3 linked regions of the Schizosaccharomyces pombe genome follow. Changing the gene in region 2 together with the main gene of any one other region gives a genetic interaction. Each region holds a gene or a part of one and is shown on either strand. Other genes may lie near its edges.

The links.
Region 1: mutations in bcp1 (region 2) and plt1 together harm fitness more than expected from each alone (negative genetic interaction), as found in Schizosaccharomyces pombe (one large-scale study listed by BioGRID).
Region 3: of bcp1 (region 2) and spt3, changing one suppresses a phenotype caused by changing the other (phenotypic suppression), as found in Schizosaccharomyces pombe (one large-scale study listed by BioGRID).

What each region holds. Positions count from the first base shown.
Region 1 is NC_003423.3:3,385,127-3,391,415, forward strand, and holds plt1 (phosphate transporter), read left to right. Parts: upstream 1-2,491; 5' UTR 2,492-2,573; coding exon 2,574-2,590; exon of another isoform or gene 2,591-2,636; coding exon 2,637-2,681; exon of another isoform or gene 2,682-2,736; coding exon 2,737-2,757; exon of another isoform or gene 2,758-2,905; coding exon 2,906-5,426; downstream 5,427-6,289. Other genes in the region: diphthamide biosynthesis protein Dph1, read right to left, coding at 793-1,899, 1,988-2,191; mitochondrial F1-FO ATP synthase peripheral stalk assembly factor Ina17, read left to right, coding at 5,842-5,943, 6,052-6,178, 6,225-6,256.
Region 2 is NC_003423.3:283,103-287,675, forward strand, and holds bcp1 (thioredoxin peroxidase), read right to left. Parts: upstream 1,715-4,573; 5' UTR 1,424-1,714; coding exon 836-1,423; 3' UTR 501-835; downstream 1-500. Other genes in the region: csc3 (WD repeat-containing protein), read left to right, coding at 1-446; SPOM_SPBC1773.03C (aminotransferase), read right to left, coding at 2,937-4,316. UniProt on the Schizosaccharomyces pombe protein: Thiol-specific peroxidase that catalyzes the reduction of hydrogen peroxide and organic hydroperoxides to water and alcohols, respectively.
Region 3 is NC_003421.2:1,440,744-1,445,463, forward strand, and holds spt3 (SAGA complex subunit Spt3), read left to right. Parts: upstream 1-2,210; 5' UTR 2,211-2,258; coding exon 2,259-3,182; 3' UTR 3,183-3,857; downstream 3,858-4,720. Other genes in the region: siderophore-Fe(3+) transporter Str2, read right to left, coding at 1-927, 1,040-1,251; NADHX dehydratase Nnr2, read left to right, coding at 3,910-4,720. UniProt on the Schizosaccharomyces pombe protein: Component of the transcription coactivator SAGA complex. SAGA acts as a general cofactor required for essentially all RNA polymerase II transcription. At the promoters, SAGA is required for transcription pre-initiation complex (PIC) recruitment.

The DNA.
Region 1 (6,289 bases), 3.1 Mb from region 2:
GTTAGCAGCTCTACTTTATTCCTTTTTCTTTTATATTTATAAATTAAACCCTGAAAACTGAGTTCCTTAAAGCATCAAACGCATGAACTATTAGTTAGTTCACTTCTGGCTTCAATTGGAACTTTTAGAATCTAAAAAGAGTTAATAACACTTCTGCCATCATCGATATATATGCAAATCAAGTGGAGTGATTTTTGCGCAGACATATCCGCTCCGGTATCATAGCATGAAATTCTCTCATCAAAATGTGTTAACTTGTAATATGATGCTATTAACCTACCTTTTTATTATATATAAGTATATATAACAACACTATTAGAAGGGAGAAAAAGGGATTCACTTTGAGAATGGGTTATGGGAGTGTTTAAGCTGAATCGGACGGTGACGGAGTGATAACGATCAAGAACATTCCTATTGGCTTACTTGGCTAAGCATCCTGAACCTATCTGCAGCTACTAGAACTACTCACATAAAAAAAGTTAGAACAACATAACAAGAAAAAAATTTCGCATTGCTTGTGTTGATTTTATAACCGCCATGGAACAGGGGGGTATGCTGGACACATTCAATCGTTACTTTACAACATGTAGGGCTGGTTACTTATAAATTTCCTTAAAATGAGGGACGCGCCTGCCGGTGCATAGTTTAAATATAAATATATTAAAGCAGTAGTTTATGTAATACATATTGTATTTATCAGATGAGAATTCTATTGGTATTTTAATAAACCTATAAAGAACAATATAAGGGTTAAAAAATAACAAGTATTAGTGCCATTAATGGCAAGTAGCGTTAAGAAGAAACGGGTCCGGTTTTTTTGCGATTTGGCAGAGGTCGATTTTCGGGATTATTTGGAGTCCAATTACCTAATGAATTGGTAGCGTAAAAGTCCATAGGATAAACTTCCTTCCAAGGAACAACATTAAAAGCAGCAGATGCTTCATATGGTGTCAACAATGGAGCGGGAAATGCATAGCCCCAATCTATGGAAAGCCTTGGACAAGCGACCTGAATCCACGCGTCAATATCAGAGAATTGACCCAATCTACTAGGAAAAATTTCTGACATTAAAACGCAAACGAAATCTTTATTATTTTTCCTTAAAGTATTCTTTAAATTTTCGAGTACCTTAGGAGACCCCTGTCGACCCAGTGTACCTTGAATTAGACCGAACTTTTTAGCGGTACGAGCTTTCTCAACGGCGGAATACCGAATAGATTTCATTTCTTCATGAGCATAAGATTCAATAGAGAGCTTATGTGAGTAAGGATCATAGCGGTATGCGGGCAAATCAGGATTAGCAATCATGACAGATTCCAAATGGAATCTTCCGTCACCAATGTAAATTAATGCATCTACAGATCCTTTTTCAATATAGGGAGATGTACATCCCAACGCCTCTCCAGGAGATAATGGCTTTGCTTGTGGAATAACAACGTAAAAACCTCCCTTTCCGTCTTCATCCTGTATTTGCAAAGCGTCTTTTATAGAGTTGAGAGATCCAACAAATTGGATAGTTCCAACCAAAGCTAACCTAGAATTGGAGGGTAGATTATGTTTTAAAGATGATACGACATGTTGCAAATCTATCTTTATATCCACGAAAACATATAGCACCTTTATGGGCGTTTGATCAACAGGTATAAGACAAGAATGACCATAGTGTACTAAAAAATCGCAATCGAGTGCCCTAGCTGTAAAATCGTCAATACAACACGCACCGTATGTAACGTCGCCCATCACAATTGTCTCGACCTGGCAAAATTGTTCAAAAATATCAGACAATATACAACCAAACATCAATAGCCCCTCGGGAAGTTGCAAGGCAACACGTTTTGCTTTTCGTAAGCGAATATGCCAAATGGTTTTGTGAATTTCAAAATTGTAATTTTGCGGTAACTATTAAAGGTTAGCTGACCAAGCTTTGATGTTTTTGAGAAAAGAAGAAACTAATTTACGGCATCTTTCTCTAATAAAAGCAGCTTACCAATTTTATAGCTTCATTAATTGCTTTATCGTTTAATATATCCTCTGGGATTTGAGTAGCTACTCGTCCAGCGCTCCTCTTGGAGTTAATAGTGACGAGAGCAGCATTTTCAACATCTCTATTAGAACCATCCAAATTATTTTCCTTCCTATTTTTTTTGCCAACAAAACGACGTTTTGGAATTGATTTTTTCACTTCCGCCATTGTGTTTTAAAATTATAAAGTCTATTACTAAAACCCTTTGAAATCCCAAGAAGTAACCAATGCTATGTATGTATTTAAATTGATAGAATGCCAAAAATCCTTTTTCCCTGCAAATTGCTTGTTTGTTAAATTAAAATACAATAGGATCCCAAATAATTTACTAAGTAAAAAAGCATTGCACTTTGCTATATTATTTAACACACGTTGTTATATTACGCTATTTCTATCGGAGGTTGGATCCACGAATACAGCTTCACCTCCGATCATAGGCCACGAAATTTGAACGGCTAACGCTCCTTTAGATTGTTCCAAATTAATTTGCGTGAATAAGCTAAAGCTGTTTTTAGTCACAATTGAAGTTAAATGACCTCTGTCATCCAAGATGAAATTCAGTCATAGGTTTGTTGCATCAGTTTTCACAAGACTTGTTCTAATTACTTTTTAGTCTTCAATTTAATGCAGTACCGGAATGGTCCGAAAGCTACATTGCGTAAGTAAACAACCTGTTGGATTACTTCCGATTTTTGCTAACAATCGGTGCTTAGTTACTCGAACCTTAAGAAGCTGTATGTTTGAAAATTCTCGAGCTTACGACTGGCTATTATGATATATCCTATATTCCGACAAATTCATACTTGCGAAATTTGGGATAATGTCTGATTAACAGCCGGAGAATAAAATTGTACTTGAATTTTGCTAACATATATTTTTAAGTATTTATTCATTGGAACATGAACAGATAACATTACAACAAGGCGCTCCAGATGAAGAAACTAGGCTGTTAGAGCACGAAAGAAGATCACCCGATGATCGCTTTATGTTTGCTTTAGACAAGGAATTACAAGGAATTGTTGAATTTTATGCTCCTAAAGAAAAAGAAATTGCTGATCAGTATGGTAGAATTAAGGGCGAATTTGAAACCTATGAGAATGAGTATATGAGTCAGGGAAACAACATTAATTACCCTACCCCTGAACGATTACAAAAGAGCTCAGCGAGTAGGAAATCTGGTCGTATGGCCCGCAGCCAAGAATTGCCTCGCATTACTTCTTCAAACCGTGAGATATATCTCAATGGGCAAACTAGTGATGGAGGTTATGCGGCCCCTGCTATATCTAGAGCAGAATCTACTGCTATTCAACCGTCTGAACCTCATGATGTCGATACTTCTAAAAACGGTTTATCAAAAAAACAACATTCAGAAGCTCAACCTGAGGTACAAGGCAATGATGATGAGGTGGAGGAGGAAGATGATGATGATGATGATGAAGATGAGGACGAAGATGAAGACGAAGATAACAACAATAACAATCGATGGTTGCTTATTGAACAATATCCATCTGATATTGTTGCGTACGAAAACTTCGTTTCTTTAAAGCGAAAACTGACACAGTTGTATGTTTCAATTCATGACTTGATTTCGTACGTCCATCTTAATTATACTGGTTTTTCAAAAATCTTAAAAAAATATGATAAAACTTTGGGTAGTAGCCTTCGTGAATCGTACATGAAGCGCGTCAACCAAGCTTACCCTTTCCTTCCTGCTACTGGGAAAACATTGTCAAAGCGTTTAAATATTGTTGCAGAGTGGTATGCTAAGCTATGCTGTCAAGGCGATACATTTGTGGCTATCCGTCGCCTTCGTGGTCATCTTCGTGAATACGTTGCATGGGAAAGGAACACTATTTGGCGTGAAATGATGGCTATGGAGCGTCGTACTCAGGCCGCGAGATTATCAGGACTGAAGCCTGTCGCAGCTGATGAGAAAGAATCAGAACAGCCCCCCTATTTTACAATCAAAACTAAATTTGGTGTTTTTAGAATCCCAAGATGCTTCTTTAATAGCACGATTGCAACTTTAATTACTATTATCGTTATATTTATTCTCTTATTAAGTTTTCCTGTCATAGATAATAGGGAACAGAACAATTGTTTGGCTTTGTTAGTAATGGTTTCTTTATTATGGGCTACGGAGGCTATTCCTTTGTTCGTTACTTCGTTTTTGGTTCCTTTTATGACTGTGTTTTTGAAAATTTTGAGAGATGAGAACGGTTCACCTCTTTCTGGAAAGGAATCAACAAAGGTTATATTTAGTTCGATGTGGAATCCAACTATAGTTTTGCTTTTAGGAGGTTTTACCATTGCAGCTGCTCTAAGCAAATATCATATTGCTAAAAGGTTGGCGACTTCCATTTTAGCGCATGCAGGGCGTAAGCCTAGAAGCGTGCTTCTTACAAACATGTTCGTTGCCATGTTTGCTAGTATGTGGATTAGCAACGTTGCTGCGCCAGTGTTGTGTTTTTCTATTATTCAGCCCCTTCTGAGAAATTTACCAGCAGAGTCCGATTTTGCAAAGATACTAATTGTGGGTATTGCTTTGGCATCTAATGTTGGAGGTATTGCTTCGCCTATTTCATCCCCACAAAATATTGTTGCGCTACAGAATATGGATCCCGCTGCGGGATGGGGTGAATGGTTTGCCGTCAGTATTCCTGTATCGTTACTGTGTATATTTTCTATATGGTTTCTGTTGTCTTTTGGATTACTGAAAGATGAGCACATCACTTTAGCTAAAATTCGCTCCACCAAGGATACATTTACTGGTGTCCAATGGTTTATTTCCATTGTTACGATTGGTACTATAGTCCTTTGGTGCCTTGAACGCCGCTTCGATGAGGTGTTTGGTGATATGGGTGTTATTGCATTAGTCCCAATCATTGTATTCTTCGGAACAGGTTTGTTAACCAAGGAGGATTTTAATAATTTTTTGTGGACAGTCATAGTTTTGGCAATGGGAGGTGTTGCGTTAGGAAAAGTAGTGTCTTCTTCCGGCCTTTTAGAACTTATTGCCCTTAAAATAGGTAATGCTGTTTCTTCCCTTAATACATTTAGGGTACTGCTTATTTTTTCTGCTTTGACTCTTGTTGTTTCTTCATTTATTTCTCATATAGTAGCTGCAATGGTGGTACTTCCCATTGTCCATGAAGTTGGAAGTCGCCTTGCCGATCCTCATCCACGTCTTTTCGTTTTGGCTTCGGGAATGATGTGTAGTCTTGCTATGGCTTTGCCAACCAGTGGTTTTCCTAATATGACAGCTATCATGATGGAAAATGAAGCTGGCAAAAGATATTTGAAAGTTAGTGACTTTTTAAAAGCTGGTATTCCTGCCACACTAATTTCCTTCGTGATTCTCCTATTAATTGGAACACCAATCATGCGAGCACTTGGATTTTAACCTCCTAATTTGTAAACGGTACTGTATCTTTCTTTTTATAATTTTTGAGTCGAAGCATGTTCTGCTGCATAACACATTCATATTTGTCAATTCTACTTAAATAGATTTTAAATCATTGCATTCGAAGATAAAATTATGGTAGCTTAGTGTTCCTACGGATCTTAATGTATTTATATGTTCACTTTATAATACGATACAAAACAAATTTTATCTCTCCTTTGTTTCAAATTGACTGGCAAAAAAAAATAACAAATAACTAATCACAAAAACCTAAGGAATATGAAAAATAGTTGCTAATTTTCGTAGAAACTTGGATCTTGATTAGAAATGAACCAAATTATGCATCATTCAAATAGATTGTAGTGTGTATGGTGCAGCGGGAACGTTATAATTAACCATCACCTATAGTCTCAAAATGTTACGCAAATTGCCCATCAATTTTGCGAAATGGACTGTAAAAAAGGTGCCAGTTCAGCAGAAAAGATTTAATAGTCAACAAAAAGAAATCTCACCTCATGTAAGCTTTTCTAAATACGCTTTAGGTCATAAATTTTATCTGTGCTAAAATTCATTCAAGCATTTTTGCATTGTTTTATTTAACATTATTTTATTAACGATCATAAAGATTATGTTTTATAAAAACTACGCTAGACCTCTTGGTAAAGTGACGCTTTTTGCCTTAGCAACTTATTATGGATTGGAAATAGTTTGGTGGAAATTAGATGCATCAGAACAGGAAGCTATTAAAAACAGTAAGTTGTTGATATGTGAAAGCTCTTTTAGTTTGTTGACATTTAGGCGAATTACGGAATTTAGAGAATGCGAAATAAAAACACGAGATTTGTATGACCCAGAAATTTAGT
Region 2 (4,573 bases):
AAATTCTTGTAAGCCAAATGCGCATTGCTGGAAATTCTGCTATTGGTAATCCGGCTGTTAAAGACAGGATCAACAAGATCGTATGGAAAAATGGTAACCCTGATCGCTTATATTCTCTGCATGAAAATGGCATGGTGCGAGTGTTCGATGTAAAGAGTGAGGAATTGCTTGCAGAGAAATCGATTAGCAAAGTCTCTTTGACTGGTATTGCGTTTGCTGTAAATCGTCCGGAATTCGCGATTAGTGCATCTGATGGAAGAGTCTTTTTCTTGAGGCAGGACGATAAACTTTCAACTCTCGAAAGCTTACCTAGCAGAGAAGCTCAAGAGGAAATTACTGATTTATCAGATATTCTTTGGATCAACTCACCCGTCGATAAGTTGGAGCATTTGATTGTGGGCTGTAAAGAGCGAATTTCTGTTTACGACCGCAAATATTTACCATAAAGCACTAACAAAGATAAACGAATACAGGAAGATTTCCCTCTTTTTATGAAACTTCCAACTTTTCTAATCAAAATGAGTTATTTGTTAAAAAATAATGATTTACGATTTCTAACCGTAATGAACCAAAAATCTACACCGTTGCTGGAGCTATATTTGTATTAGATATACGGCAACTATTTAATCTAATCTCAACGTTACTAAAATAAGAACAACACTAACTTGGACCATCAACTTGTATAAAATTGTGTAGTGATCATATTTGAATGTATCTTCAGGGTTGAAGCACATTGTAGCAAGACATAAAAAAGTGTAATTTCATCATGAATCATATAGCAATAGGCATGTAGACTATCCTCCAAATTTGACAATGAGCGTAGACAATTTGTCAACTAAGGTTCAGAATCAGTGATTACAGCAAAGGCTTTGTCAACACTGACAAGAGGTGATATGTCAATTTCCTTCACTATGCATTTGCCAGTACCTTTCTCAAAGATCCAATGGCTTCTAAACAGCTTTCCACCACCAGGCTTCTCAGCGCCTAACTTTTTAATTAGCTCACCTTTAGGATCCGAAAGCAAATGATAAGGAAAGTTTTGCTTATCCTTGAAAGCTTTTTGAGCTTTGCTAGTATCGAAAGACAACCCTAAAACTTCATAATCAGAGGCCTGTATCTTAGGATAGTTATCACGAAAACCACAACCTTGTTTCGTGCAGCCAGGAGTACTAGCTTTTGGGTAGGCAAAAATTACAAGCCCTTTATTTGCAGTAATATCGCGAAGTCGAATGGAAGTTCCATCTTCGTCAGGCAAAGTGATATCGGGAATTACGTCTCCCACTTGAATAGTTGAATCAACTGATTCATCTTTTGCAGGCTTTTTCAGCATTACTGGAGCAGCTTCAGGAATAATCGTTCCTTTGCTATCCAAGACGTTTGCAATCTTGGCTGCCAATCTGCTAGATCTTCTGGGGGCGTCCATTGACAGGCTTAAAGTGTGCAAGAAAAATGCTAGAGGGGAAGGAGAAAGGTTGATGCAGAGCTGCAGTATATAAATTTATATTCTAAACAACACCTGTAAAACCAAAAACGTTGGTGTCAATGCTGATCAGTATTAAATCGCTTTAACTTGTAAAGGCTAGATAAAATGATCAAAGTAGTGAAACTCTGTTCAGGATGAAGTACTCTGAACTTTTTACTACTCAACTTTCAGAATTTCGGTACCAAAATAAAAACAATTTTACAATAACACCTGAGATTTTCTTTCTGGTGTAGGAAGAAAGTACAGGTAGTGAAGAATCACGACATAAATATTACCAATTTGTTAGCTTCGCTTTGATATTACTTTACAACATTACCAATGTGATCCCGTAAAATCGTATTTAGCGTATTTAGCTGACCTTTCAAACGATCGATAGGGAACCGATCTTCCCCTGCTTATACAATCGGAATAGCTTTGCATCCTACTATGACTAAAGAATGTTTTCTTTCATAAAATTTCTAGTCAAATCATTATTAACATGGTGTCGTTTTTACTAGTATGGCTTTAAAAAATGGTCTTTCGTAAACTGTAACAGCATTTTCTCTGATTGTCCGTCTCGACAGCGTTACAGAAATATAAATAAAATAACAATTAATTTATTAACAAATTTCAAATATCTTTTGTTCGTCAATTGTAGAACGGATCCATCAGCTAGGAACTGATTTGCATGCAATGTCAATGTAGCAATCGTAGTAAAGATTCTAAGGAAGTAAGCCAAGACTATAAAACATGATGTTAGCAAGCGAGGCTATCGTCTTTATTAAACTAACATTGCATTTTTTTTATAAAAAGGCTAAAAACATTGCATCGACCGGGAGTCGAACCCGGAGCTAATGCTTGGAAGGCATTGATGTTACCGCTACACCATCGATGCTTGGATGAAGAGGTAAAATAATAGACATATATTACTTTAAAATTAAACTTGTATCGAAGTATTAGCAACTGGTTCTACATTATGAAAATAACCCAAAAACAATCCAAACTGTTTGGCTAATAATGTGTCTATTTATTATACATTAAATAGTTGAAATTATGGTATACTGCCTACTATGCTTGTAATATACTATAAATGTGTAATGTATAATAAAATGGGCATGTGGTGTAGATGGTTATCACGCTTCCTTAGCATGGAAGAGGTCCCAGATTCGAGTTCTGGCTTGTCCAAGTTTTTTTTTGTTTTTTACGTTTGTTGATTCAAACTATATAGAAACGCGTTTACGCAGAGAACATGTTTTCAAATGATTGCGAGCCATCGTCTACCCTATAGCCGTATGGAATTATCAATTTTATTACAACGAAGGGTCGTAGCGGAGAAAGTATATTAATGCATTGTAAATTCATTTCATATAAAATTAATTATTATACCATGACCAAAGGTCTTCTAACATAAGTATATCCAAATTATCTGAAACATTATAACTGATAAAGAGGAATTTCGTTAACTTGCGTACATTCAAGGAAGGGCCGCAACTGTAGATGTAATGGTTTTGCTAAGAGCCTCCACTAGTTCATCTATTTGCTCGCGAGTGATAATATACGGAGGAGCCAGCAATACGTGGTCTCCTCTGGTGCCATCAATTGTACCCATGCCTGGATAAACGAAAACACCATGCTCGCAACCTATTTTGTTGGCGAGAGAACCAACTTTGTATTCAGGAGGGAAACATTCCTTGGTAGCTTTGTCTTTAACGATCTCGAGTCCCCAAAACAAACCGCGGCCTCGAATATTTCCCACGTTGGGATGAGAGTCAAAAGTCTCATGTAATTTTTCCGAAAGGTATTTACCCATTTCTGCTGCCCTTTCAACAAGATGATCTCGTCTTAAAATAGTTTGCACCGCCAGGGCAGCAGAACAAGCAATTGGGTGGGCTTGATATGTAAAAAAACCAGCCATGGCAGCATCTTTTTGCTCAAACACGTTCATAATACGATGACCAACAAGCGCTCCAGAAATGGGTTGATAACCACCTCCTAAACATTTGGCAATAGATTGAATGTCAGGTGTCACACCCTCTTGCTCCCATGCATGCATTGTTCCCGTACGGCCAATACCCGACATAACCTCGTCGAGGTAAAAGATCACTCCGTACTTGTCACAAACCTTTCTCATTGCTTTGAAATAGCCAGGGACAGGGGTAGCACAACCTGTGCAAGCACCGGATACTGTCTCCGCCACAAACGCTGCCACCTTTTCAGGACCAACGCGAAGAATTTCATCCTCAAGCTCTTTAGCTAATCGAGCAACATATTCTTCGGTTGTCTCTCCGTTTTCCTTATACCTGTATTCAAAACAAGGAGATACGTGGGAAGTTGTGTGAGAAAACACACCTTCATAAGGCTGTTTGCGAGGTTTCATTCCGCCAACAGAAAGAGCAAACAAAGTGTTTCCATGGTATCCTTGCTTACGGGCAATTATATGGCATCTCTGTTTTTCACCCACGAGCTGCCAGTACTGCAGAATAAGCTTTAAACATGTTTCAACGGCCTCTGACCCACTATTGGCAAAATAAGCTCGGGCAAAAACGTCGGGATGTTCAGATACTAGCAAATTTGCAAGTTTGTCTGCGGGTTCATTTGAAAACCCCATGCTGTGTATGTAGCAAACCTTTTCTGATTGCTTATGCATAGCATCAATTACCTCCTTGTTTCCATGTCCAAGACAGGCGACTGCTGCACCTCCAGTAGCATCCATAATCCTCGTACCATCTTCCAAATATAAGTAAACGCCTTCAGCACGAACCACAGTGGGAGGCCTGTGATTAGGAGAAGTATAGAACAAATAATTCTTTTTTTCAGACTTGTCGCTCGACGTAGTAGTTACAGTTTCAGTCATGATAAGCAATGTAAATTCTCGTCAGTAAGAGTATTTATATGTAAAAAGATTAAGCGAAGTGTTTTCCAATCTATTCTCTAAAGAAATTGATCTGATCACCACAGCTTCACTACAATATCTTGTAAAGTGTCAGATGAACTAGAAATCCTACGGTATTTAAAACCTCGTCAAGCTTTAATAATCATCTTTTTTATCTATGTGTCGCAAGTACATCTCCGGATAACGAAATTGCCGCCTTCAGTTTCGTATCTATCCAA
Region 3 (4,720 bases), on a different chromosome or scaffold from region 2:
GAGACTTGAAGGAAAGAAGTTAAAAAATTTGAGAAAATATAATAAGACATGAAATATGTGAAAATTAAAACGCATGAACCAAGGATGGTACGGTCTTTCAAAGATTTTAAGGCGAAAACGGGATAGCGTGCATATTTGACGTCGTAGAAGCATAGGGTTACTAACAAAGCAATGGAGAGAGTTATAGTAAAGAGAGTTAAAATTGTTGAGTCTGGTGAAACTACCTGACTCGAATGGGAAAAAGGCAGCAACAAAAGCGTAAAGCCAGACACAAACAACACTATTCCAAGACCATCCAATTCCTGCCAAAACAAATAAAATAGTCTAAGTTTTTCAGGAGTGGAATGATTGATCAAGTTATGATGTTCTCTATATAAACCTGCAGCCTTGGCTTTTCTTTGGTTTAGGAAAAGCGAAGCCAAGAGAGGTAATGAAACTGTTGGTAAAATGAACGCCCATATACCATAACCCAATCTCCACCCATAATTTTTCTCAGGATGAAAGGCTTGAGCAAGCACTGGTCCAATCCAAACAGTTGCAAGATAGGGAAGTTCTGGGATAGCAGAGAGAATCCCCCGATTGAGTAGCGAAGATGTGTCTGCAATAATTAATTGAGATAACAGACCTAGCCCAGTTTGGCCGCATATATAGAGGATATATGCTACGGTAAACATTTGAATATTTCGAGAAAATGCCAATGAAAGATATCCCAACACTGTCATTCCTAATGCTAAACTAAGACTCTCCGAACGTCCAAAGACATCGGCAGCCTTTACCATTGGTGCTCGAACAACTGCTAAAAGAATATTGCCCACCAAATTGATTGTAGCCAAGTTTGAATGGGCGGAAAAGTTGCTGGTTGCGTATCTTTGCAAAGAATACGTAGTTTGCTGCTCTAATGAAGATGCAAATGACAACAAATAGAGACTAAAAGAGAAGACATTGTGTTAGCTTGATCATACCACAAACACAAACATTCAACAGATGTATGCAAACACTACGTGATTTATGGATTATCATGACTACAATACTAACATACCCAAGGTAAGCAACAATAATCGATCTTTTAGACCATGTTGAAGCAATTGCCTCAGCTTTGGAAACACCTTCTAGTGACAATTCTGAAGTACGATCATTTATGGGTCCAGCATTATCAAGCTCTTCTCTAAGGGGATGAAATTGCTGTTCTAAATTTTCGTTATTACGAAAACTCTTTTTACGATGCTCCATGCTTCCATAATTCTCAGTCATCCAGAGTGTATGGTAAATGGCAGTATGCAAAAGGTACGCCAACACAAATTATCAGATCGTATAGCAAATTAGAGTTTATCTAACCGAGATGTTTAATGAAGTTGGTAAACAATAATAAATAAAGACTGATGAAATGCAGACTAGTTAGTTAATAAGAGGTTTTTGGTTGCTTTAAGAAGCGGTTAAACTTTTTTAAATAATAGAAGAATTACACTTTGACCCTTTCTCCGAGGTTCAGGCTAAGCCGCCAATTTGATGTTCCCGCAATTAACTCCTCGAATTTATGAGTGATGGCTTCAATAGGGTATTCATTTGTTCAGAGTATTCAATTTAGTTTCTAGTCACACTTAAACATTTTGGAAGTATTAAAAATTACAGAGATTGGTAGCAGACGATTTTACAGCATGCTCGAAATAGAAGCATTAAGAAGAAATTGCAATATCACTCAGACTAATGAAATCCTTCTAAACACGAAAACATAATCTAAAGAATTGCTAGTAATATCACAAATTGCTGATAATTAGAAGGTGTTTACATTTATGGCAACAAAGATGAATGATCTAGCAAAAGAGAGTTTCAGACCAAAGAAAGTTGATGCTTTTCACTTTATAGATTACTCAAGTATCTACTTTAAACGGAAGTAAACAAGTTACGAAGGTAAAAAATTTCAAACATTTACAATCTTAAATTAATAAACCTATGCTTCAAAAAAAGACAGGAGTTACTCTTCTAATAACACTTCTTCACTAACTAGTTGTACTGGATGTTCTGTAACGAAAGAATGGACTGGGTTTGCAGTTTGGATAGTGTATCCAGCTCTCATAAAATTTGTTTGCTTTTTGCAAGCTAAACGTTTGACAATGGTTTTTCTTTTTCAACTTAAAGCACTTTATGCCCCATCAATTAGTCCTTCTTACTGGAAACTATATTTTTCTTGTCAGTTTGGAGTTCAGCAACTTGTCAACTACCCACCACTTTGGGAAGTGGTTAAAAATAAGCAATGCGGAATGACTGAGACTGGCAGAACCAGTAAATATCGTGTTGAAATTCAACAAATGATGTTCATTCTAGGGGAGGTGCAGGATCCTCTCCCAGAAACCACACAATTAGTCGAAGAGCTAATACGTGGACAAGTGATGGAGATGTTAATTCAGGCAAATGAGCTAGCTTTACGACGTGGCTCAAGATCTATTACTGTGGAAGATTTATTTTTCTTAATTCGCCATGATCGTGCAAAGGTGAATCGACTAAAGACATACCTGTCATGGAAGGAAGTGCGCAAGAAAGCGAAGGAGCAGGATGCCAATCCTGCCGATACAAAAGATCTTTTTGAGGAAGTAGATTCAAAAACAAGGTCAATGAATGCAGTTGCTATGCCTTGGGAAGTAAAAAATATGTTTACAGAGCCTGTACCGGAAACAGAAGAGTTTGAAGAAGATAACGATACGATGGAAATGGCATATGCGACGCGACAACGTCTTAAAATGGCAGATGAACGCACGAAGAAAATGACGCGTGAGGAGTATGTTCATTGGAGTGAATGTCGACAAGCCAGTTTTACTTATCGAAAAGGCAAGCGATTTCGTGAATGGTGTGGCATGTCTATTCTAACAGATACTCGCCCTGATAATGATATTGTAGATATACTTGGCTTCTTGACCTTTGAGATTGTGGCTACCTTAACTGAGGAAGCACTGGCTGTGAAAGATCGAATGGATCGGATTCAAAATAGCTCGGGTAGTGGAGGCTCTCATGCAGCGCATCATCCGAAAAATTGCAGTTTATTTGATGGACTTACTGAGGGGAGAACTCCCCTTCAAGTTTCTCATGTTTTAGAAGCTTTTCGTCGTTTGCAAATCCCCGATAAAACTCATACTGCTATGCGCAGTTTTCATGGGGGTTTGGTCAAATCTCGTGTGTATCTTATCTAATCATTTTCACTGTCTCTTCTTTTTTTTTAATTGCTGTAAGGCTTCCATTTACATCTAAATGCCCTGTTTTCCTGTAATTACCCATACTAGGTACGTATATGTTATTATCCCCATTACTGGTTCTCCTTGAAACAATATGGTTTAGATCTTACGAAAGCCCCTTTACTTTATGGAGATATTAACTACTCAATATATTTCATCACATTAGACTGTTGTCTTGCATCTCCGATTGAATTCATAATTTTATTTCTATCTTTCCACTAAGCGATATTCTTAATTGCAGCAGTGGTAGTATTTGGACTTTTGGATTTTTTAATATCAAATTTTTCTTATTATACTGGAATCTCATGATATCTGTGAATATTTGCAAATCTTCTTACCAAACTTCGTTTACTCTATACAAACTGCTGATTTTCGTAATGAACAAGGGGATCATCCTTTTGATATCGTCAGTGCGAAATTTTTAAAAAACAAAGGGTTTCTTTACGTTTTTTTTTTGTTTTCGAGAACATTTGAACTTCATCACTGAGCGTCATTTTGATCATACCTTCCACCTTAACATCATACATACGCCAACTCCAAGAATAACCGAACATTCGTATTCCGAAGCACTCACAGTACTTAAGAGATACAAAATTCAGGAATTTTAAAGACTTTTTGATTTATTATAATTGTAATTCTTTATAATTTTTTGCTATCCGAAGAATTCGCTCAACAAGATTACAACATGACATCTGGATCTCCCAAAATTACAAATTTGCTGACTCGTGTGAAGCGCATCATTCCACCACTTCTTGATACCTTCCACAAAGGTCAAGCCGGTCGAGTTGGTGTTTTTGGGGGTTGTCAGCACTACACAGGTGCTCCGTACTATTCTTCGATGTCGTCGATGCTCTTCGGCAGTGACCAAAGCCACATATTTTGTGAAAAAGAAGCTGCAAATGTCATTAAAAGCTATTCTCCTGATCTGATTGTTCATCCATTTTTACGTGAAAAGGACAAAGCTGGACCAGAAGATAGTGTCGATAAATGCTTTGAACTTATAAAGCCCATGATGGGAAGATTGCATGCCATCGTAATTGGGCCTGGATTGGGACGTGATGAATGGATGCAAGAGATTATGGCCAAAGTAATTGAGTATGCGCGCAAAAATGATATGCCTATGGTTATCGATGCTGATGGCTTGTGGTTAATTCAACAACGTCCCGAATTGGTTTCGGGTTATCATAATGTAATTTTAACACCTAACGTTATTGAGTTCAAAAGACTTTGCGACAAGCTTGACATTAAGAGTGACGGACCCGATGCTTGCAATCAGCTAGCTGGCAAACTAAATTTGCTCATCATTCAAAAAGGCCAATCCGATATTATTTCCGATGGCGCTACTGCATATGCTTGCTCCGTTCCTGGTGGTCTTAAACGTTGTGGTGGTCAGGGTGACATTTTAACTGGTATACTTGCTACATTCCTTGCTTGGAGACATGCTTATCTTAGCAAAGAATGGGATACAGAAGGTAATATGGATGCTAAAGAATGTC